Linked DNA regions of Arabidopsis thaliana. The protein of the gene in region 1 interacts with the protein of each later gene in a pairwise test. Each region holds a gene or a part of one and is shown in the gene's direction. Other genes may lie near its edges. The genes, in order: GDU3 and AT5G23710.

What was found.
Region 2: the proteins of GDU3 (region 1) and AT5G23710 interact in a two-hybrid assay, tested with the Arabidopsis thaliana proteins (one large-scale study listed by BioGRID).

Annotation. Positions count from the first base shown.
Region 1 is NC_003076.8:23,365,222-23,369,179, reverse strand, and holds GDU3 (glutamine dumper 3), read left to right. Parts: upstream 1-2,116; 5' UTR 2,117-2,377; coding exon 2,378-2,824; 3' UTR 2,825-3,375; downstream 3,376-3,958. UniProt on the Arabidopsis thaliana protein: Probable subunit of an amino acid transporter involved in the regulation of the amino acid metabolism. Stimulates amino acid export by activating nonselective amino acid facilitators.
Region 2 is NC_003076.8:7,995,691-7,999,683, reverse strand, and holds AT5G23710 (DNA binding / DNA-directed RNA polymerase), read left to right. Parts: upstream 1-2,178; 5' UTR 2,179-2,299; exon of another isoform or gene 2,300-2,445; 5' UTR 2,446-2,463; coding exon 2,464-3,156; 3' UTR 3,157-3,263; downstream 3,264-3,993. Other genes in the region: PHS1 (dual specificity protein phosphatase family protein), read right to left, coding at 2-162, 267-443, 516-717, 853-995, 1,086-1,163, 1,334-1,375; AT5G23700 (coiled-coil protein), read right to left, coding at 3,264-3,400, 3,478-3,607, 3,758-3,933.

The DNA of each region.
Region 1 (3,958 bases):
CTCATTGCAGTTTGGATACCAGAAAAATATAACTTGTTTCAAATCGAACTAAAATGTTTTGTCGCGAATAAGTTATACTCTGATCTCTTAAAACGAGTTGTCTAAAAGTTCGGACACTCTCTTTTTAACTAGTAAAACAAACTATTGAAACAAAATTTTAACATCATAAAGTGTGAGTTGTTTTCAATTGTTCTAATCGTTTTCTCAATGTGTTTGACTAATCGAGAAAAAGCAAATGATAGGAACTTGACCAAATAAACTTTGATCCAAATAGACTGTGCAAAAACATGGGACCATTTTTGTTATCTCATCTATAATTTTTAAAATTATCATTGATGAGATAATTGAGACCTCAGGCATATGGTTTGGTATGTTGTTTCCAGCTTTTTTTCATTGGGGTTTCCCACTTTCCTTTTTGATGATATATAAAATTTTCTGTACTCCTCTAATATATCATTAAAATATTTTAAAAACGTAAAATTTGGTATGTTCTTGTTAGAATGATGATTTTGGTGCATAGTGGATTTTTTTATATATGATAAAATCAATAGTCACTTGTTAAAAGCAATTTATGGTGGTGGTGGGCTACCGTCTGTTTTTTCATTTATATTTATGTGTTCACAGTTCACGATGAAATATGATAACATATATATATATATATATATATATATATACCTATCATAATTATTTTTTATGCTGTATATATGTGAAAAAATTGTCTATATATAGTAGTTAATTAATTATGTATATGAATACAGCATGAAAAATTATTGAGAGCGAGTGTGAGTCTTGTTGTTCTTGCTTTGCCGAGTTTCAAGGTCTCATACGAATTCATTTGCTCTTTAACAATCATGCATATCTTGCATATATATCAATATGTTGGAGATACAATAAAGTTGGTTATAAATATGTATAGTGGAACTCGAAGTAAGAAGATTTAAACAAACATGTAATTTTAGTTGTTTTAGGTAACGTTCACTTTACTTGTTTGGCGTTAACGGTTATTACGTTTCCGGCTATCTCTTCACGTTTGCATCGCTCACCTAAATTTTAGCGGCTTTAACGGAACCGTTTTTGGTCAGTCTCTTGTCCTTATCTTATTCCCCTTTTAATTGCCTCTTTTAAACCCTCTTTCTTCTTCAGAGTGTTTCTTTATCTATTAGCCATCAATCATTGGTTTTTTTGTTCTAGTTAAAAAATTCATCATTTTCATGACTCTTATGTTTTCATGTCTCACTTTTCCACTGTAAATTAGAAAAATAATTATTAGCCAAGTAGATGTTGATCTTACGCTGTACTAGTAGAGAGTATAACCACTCAGCAGATATTTTCTGTAAAGTCATACTATATTTTATTCGAGTGGATTCGACACTATGTGAATGGTTGTTAATTATCTAAAACAGTGTTTAAGTGTTACAATAAATGATTACTAATATTATAATTCCTTGGAGTATGATAGAATCGAAGATATTTTTTGAAATTATCCACTGATTAAGCTTAAAAAGTAGTAAGGAATACTGATTAAGAAACAGACCACATTAATTGGGTCCCAACTAATCACCGGCACCTAAACCAACAGAAGCTCATCATTACACGGCTTGCTAACTATACATAACATTCCTCTGTAAAGCATGTAGTTTCAATTTTTGAAATATATAAACCCTTAACCTTGCTGAGATTATAAATGTTACCAATCATTTTTAAAATGCTATTGCTGTGAATGTGAACGTCGATTATTTATGTAAACTTCTAAGTAAAACACATACACACATTACTCTAGAAAGAAAAAAGTAGATATGTTAGTTATCTTTTATGTTGGTAAGCGACTCAAAACGGACAAAAAAAAATGAGTATGGTAAATCTCAACAGCCAAAAAAAAAAGTTTACCATTGAATTAAGAATTTTCTCTTAAAAATATGTTTGGAAATCATAGGAAAACTTGTTAAATGTTTATTTTTTCATTTACAAATTATATATATATTCAGTGGTTAATCCTTTTGTACACACCATCTCGATTACTTTAGCAAACGGCAAAAATAAGACATAACATAAGTTATGCACTCACGTCACGACTCCATATAATCATTCATGATAACTGAGAAACATAAAAACTGAATTCATATTGCTTTTTTCTCCAACTCACTCATTACATACAAATACATAAATAAATAAGAAAAATTTCCATAAATCAGAAGTAAAAAGAATCTCATACGCAAAATAATAAAATTAAAAATTGATACGTCACACACAATCCACAACGTTAATTCGCTTCTTCTCTTCTATAAAACCCTTCCTCACTCATCTTCCTCCTCACACCAAAACATTTTCCTAAAAAAAAAAAAAACTCAAAACTCAAAACCATCTTTGTGAAAAAAAAATGGAAGGAAGACAATATTACCCTCCGAGAGAAAACGTTGAAGGAAACAGAACCACCATGGGAGGAGGACCTCACTCACCGTGGCATTCACCGGTTCCTTATCTCTTTGGTGGTTTAGCAGCGATGCTTGGTCTCATAGCTTTTGCTCTTCTAATCCTCGCTTGCTCTTACTGGCGTCTCTCCGGTTATCTAGACGGCGAGGAAAACCAGAGCAGAGAGAGAGATCTTGAAGTCGGAGATGTGAAACCTGACAAAACGGCGGTGAAGCCTGTAGCTTTGCCGGAGAAGTTCTTGGTGATTATGGCCGGAAATGTCAAACCTACTTACTTAGCAACGCCGTCGGTAAAAACGTGTACTTGTGACGATGATGACGATGAAGATGATGACGTGGAGGGAAGTGATCAGGTGGTGCCGCGGAGTAGTGAAAGTAACGGTGAGACACATTGACAAAACCAGAGGAAGGGAAGAGAAAAACAGAGGATCGTCTTATTGTGAACAGTTCTGAAGAACTGTTTGCAGCATCTGACCCGGTTGCGTCGGGTATTCGGGTTGGATCATAACTCTACTTGATGATGAGTAATATTGGAAAAAATTGGAATTGGGATTGAATTATTAGGAGTTGTTCTGATCAATGATGTATTTAAAAAATCTTAGCTTTTGCCTTTTGCATCGTTAATTCGTTTTTTTTTTTTTTGTAAGTTTTGTGCCATATCTAGGTCATGATGAGGGATAAAATGTAAATTTCTGAGACTTTGAATGTGAAATTTGTGATTTATGGAATTGAGAATGAAAAAACAAATAACTATCTGAGACTTCAATGAAAATATCTTGATTATTTTAAAAATTCACCAAAAAAAAAAGGTGATTAAATGATGAAAAAATTGTACTGTTCCAGTACATGTTTTTTCGTGGGATTAATGTGACAATTGTGGTCCGAACAAAAAAGAAAACAGAGAAAATATCAAAAGATTCTTCAGGTGAGAAAATTGAAGTGAGGACTACAGGCACGTGTGAAGGCACATGCAGAAGAATGTCTGATTTAATTTCTCTTAGGTGTCTCTAAATTGATGCGGCGAGGTGAAGCAGTTAAAATTAGCTTCAATCAACGACCCTAATCGTGTAATTAATCTCCTATAGCATAATTCTTATCAGGAAAATATTTTATAAGTTTCGAAAATGACTTTTAACTGCACTAGGTCTCTTTTCTTTTTTCCCTTTCAATCTTATCTTGTAGGCTGTAGCCCTAGCTAGGTTTCTTTTTTTTTATATTACTTTAAAGCTATGGATTCTTTATTTATACATTCATCTAATGAAAATGGATTACCAACTATTAATAGTGAATATTCGAGTTCAGAAACTAGACTTTGATGAATAACCGTCAATCTTTTGCCTCTTCTTCTTTGTTGCATAACAAATAGTTTTGTTTTATCAAAACAGAGTATTTTTATCAATTTAACGATATATGTTGAGCTGCGTAGACTTGTAATCAAGATGTTCGATGTAAAAATGTTTTTGGATTGGTTATGGGTCGAGAAAATAAAGTTGGCTAATGGTGGGTTTTATTTGGGCCCACTGTAGTTT
Region 2 (3,993 bases), about 15 Mb from region 1:
CCTCATTAAGAGAAGACAACGGCTGAGCTCAAGGGCTTCCAGAAGTTCTGAACATGTCATTTCACCAACCTCGTCCCCCTCCGAAGTCGCTTTAGCTTGTGCTTTTTCAGTGGCTTCTTTGATCAGTGTCCACTCAGGATTACAGCTGTGAATTACTCTAGCCTGTCGCATGATGATTACTCATTACTTGAAAATTCTAGAAAGAAAGTGAAATGAGCAAAACCATTACTACATTTTTAAAAAACTACAAGAAAGAAAAGAAGCACCTGCGGAATCTGCACCCCTAGCCACTTGGAAAACTCATAACCTAGACGTTCTGATTGCGTGGCCATCCTCGATGATGCAAATTTAATAACTGCTGCTTCTTCCTTACGAGAGGCATCTTCAGAGCTGGAACTATTGAACAGGGCAAAGAAAACAACTCCTCCAGAATTCACAGTAACCTGTACAGACATCTAATAGTGTCAAAAGATCCTCCTAGCATCACCAGTCCAAGATCATAATGATATATATACCTCAAGTGGTTTACTCTGGTCTTCTTCAGAATGATCAGTGCTACTACTATGTTCAGTATGATGAAGTGAAGACAACATATTCCATGAAAAACAGCTCGAATCAATATCCACAGTAGAAGCTTTACCAAGCCTTTCCCACAAACTAATCTCTGAACTCTGCCTACTTGGTGGACTTTTAGGATCAGTATTCCTCTCTCCTGCACTGGATAATACTTGTATCAACTGACATGAAGACTAATATCCTAATTTAGAAACCTTTGTTCTGATATACTCATAAGATTCCAAAATCATAATCAACAAACCAAGTACTTGACAAAAAGTCAGAGAAAGTGTTAACCTAGTGACCATATCATCGATGCGGTGAAGGCGGTGAGGGAAGCCAGAGGATCCGTAAGTAGCACTTCGTTTACGAACTAAATCCAACCATTGAGTAAACCTATAAGCTGGACCAGATGCTATATCTCCTAACATGTACAAAACCTGCAAATTCCAAAAGTCTTCCAATTTTTAAGACGAGACTATTAATATAACCCTAAAACCTAAAACGAATTTAGGATCGGAGAAATTTACACGAGAAGTGACGGTGAGAGGAAGAGGAGACTCGTGCTCGTCGTGAACAAGGTATAGATCTTTCTCTTCGTCTTTTTCCTGCGATAGCACCATAATATCAGATCAGAGAAAAAGGGGAAAAAATCAAAATCAAAATCTGGCTCTGCGAAAAGAGGGAGAGATAAATGTGGGGGTAATGATGAACGCAAAAGGTGGGGGTGATAATGATAGATTATTAAATTTGTGGGGGAAAAATGAAGGATGATTACTTGAGAAAATGGTTGATCTCGCTTCTTCTCAGGTTCCGCCATTGCAAAAGCTTAGGTTCTGTTTAATTTTAGAAATGTCTTTTTCTTCAAATGTCAGCTTTGTATCTGAGAAGAGGAAAGTCTCAAGGTATCTTTAATTAATATGAACTTGTCGGACGAAGAAAGAAGACGGATATTTAATTTCATAAATTTATTATTGTAATAAAGACTCTGATCATTTTATTCTCATTATTCAAGATTTAAAAAAATAAACATATTATTATTTACAGAACTGTCTTCTAATTTTATTTTATTTCCGTTTTGTGTTATTATTTAAAACTATATTTTGTATGAAACTATTTCGGTCGAAATCAACAACATTTATACAAAAATGGTTTTAGATTTTAAAAAATATTCACTAAAGTTTATGGTTTAATCTGAAAAAGTTCAGTCTAATAAAATAAAATATTTATAGAATTTTTTTGTCAACTTATTTCTGAAAATTAATAAGCATAAATATTAGTAAAAAATCAAAAATATATACTTTCTTTGTTTTACAATATAAATTGTTTTGGACCAAATTTTTTGTTTTACAATATAAATTATTTTCAAAATTTTATGCAAATTATATATTATTTTAATACTTTATAATTATTTCTATTTTTAAAAAATAAATTGAATTTTTTAAAAATAAATATTTTTAATCTACATGTTTTTATCTAAACCAACTTGTATAGCGAAATCTCATATTGAATTAACAAAAATCCTGAACAATATGTACCAATCCACTTCGAGTTACCTTTTGTTGTGTATTAGTTTAGGCCCACACTAATATATTTGACTTTCTTCTCTGTCTTATATATTTAGCTAAAAGCAGACCTAGGGTTTTCGTATCCGTTCCAGTCACGGACGACTTCTCCGTTCTCTGAACTCTCCTAAAGCCTCTATATTCATCGGATTGTTCATCTCCAGTAAACCAATCTCCAGGTAAATTGAATCTGAATCTTCACCAAAATCCTTTGTAATCTCAGAATCATCGATTTTATCACCTTCTTATAGTATAGATCAATCCTTTTCGTAAATCACACGAATTCTCTCAATTACCGTGTCACAATTCCGATTGATTTTTGCAGTTTGGTGAATTTGTAAGAATGAGTAAACGAAAACGTCCGGATCCGAAATCATCGGGAGGTGATCTAAACGAGCCACACGAGAAGAAGCTTCTGGATCTGATTCGAATAAACCAAGGAAGAGGCGCAACTATGTTCGAATTGAAACGCGAGAAAACGATCCCAGCAACTATAGTTACTCGATTGATCGCTTCTCTACGGAAGAAGAATCTCATCAAAGAAGTAGCAAACATGAACAACAAAGGTGTCAAACATTATCTTGCAATGGAGTTTGAGCCTTGTAGTGAACTTACTGGTGGTGAATGGTACACTGATGGAGCTCTTGACCTGTCGAAAATCGAAGATTTGAAAGCCAAGTGTGTGATGATTTTGGAGAGGCATAGGCAGAGGGTTGTTACTTTGGAGGTTTTGTGTGGGTATTTTGTTAAAGAGGAGAAGCTGAGTGTTGATCAGACTAAGGAGATACTTAAGAACTTGATTTTGGATAATTTGATCATGGAGGTGAAGAGTAATGGAATGAATGAGTTTGCTTCTACGAGAATCGGAGAAGTTTGCTACAGGTTGACCGGGAAAAAGTTCGGTAATGGCGAACCGAGAGCTGGAGCTTTTGCTTCGATTCCTTGCGGGGTTTGTCCGCATATAGCGATCTGTTCACCTGATGGTGTTATCTCTCCCACTACATGTGTTTATTTTCAGAAATGGTTAGACTTTTAGCACTCTCTTTTTTTTTTTTTTTTTGGGTTTAAAACTTAAGATTTTAGATTATGATGATTTGTTTTTTCGGTTATACAATAGAGAATAATGCTATTGATATCTTTAAATTAAGAGTCAAGGTTGTGATTTGAAAGAGTAGATGTCGGAGAAGAAGATGGAAGAAGCTGATCTGTTTCTTTGCGACAAGCTTCCCATAATTGTTGCTCTACTCCTAGTTTCCTTAGCTCTAACAAACCTCGTTCCACTGTAAAGAGAACAAGTTAATGTGTTATTAAAACTAGAATTAGGACACAGGGGAAATCAATTGAAGAAGTTTATTACCGTCAACGGCATCTTGTGAAGTCGGAGATTTTCCTTCACTACGACTGGTCCAAAACTGGAAACGTTCATCTGCAATGTCTTCTTCCACACTATGCAACTTGGCTCTACCCCAGAAGTACATAAGCCATGCCTGCATTTATAACCAAATAACGTCGGTTCATCAAGATTCATCGCGATAAATTTAGTTACCAACCACAATATACCAATAATTACCATCTCTTGTAACAAAATGTCACATTATAACCTTATAGTTATGAAATTATAGGCATAAAGAAACTACCTGCTTAAAGGCAACATCTTCTTGTTCCCCTTCTTTTATCTCTGCATTTGAGAAATGTGATAACATAGTAAGGATTTCATCAAGTTTGACTGCTGATATGATATATTGTGCATGTTTGGACTCTCTTCTCTTACCGTATGATTCTACAAAACTGAGTTCTCCATGCCCTTTGGAATCTGTAAGATATGGAGAAAACAGACTATTGATCTCGATGACTAGTAAAAACAGACTATATT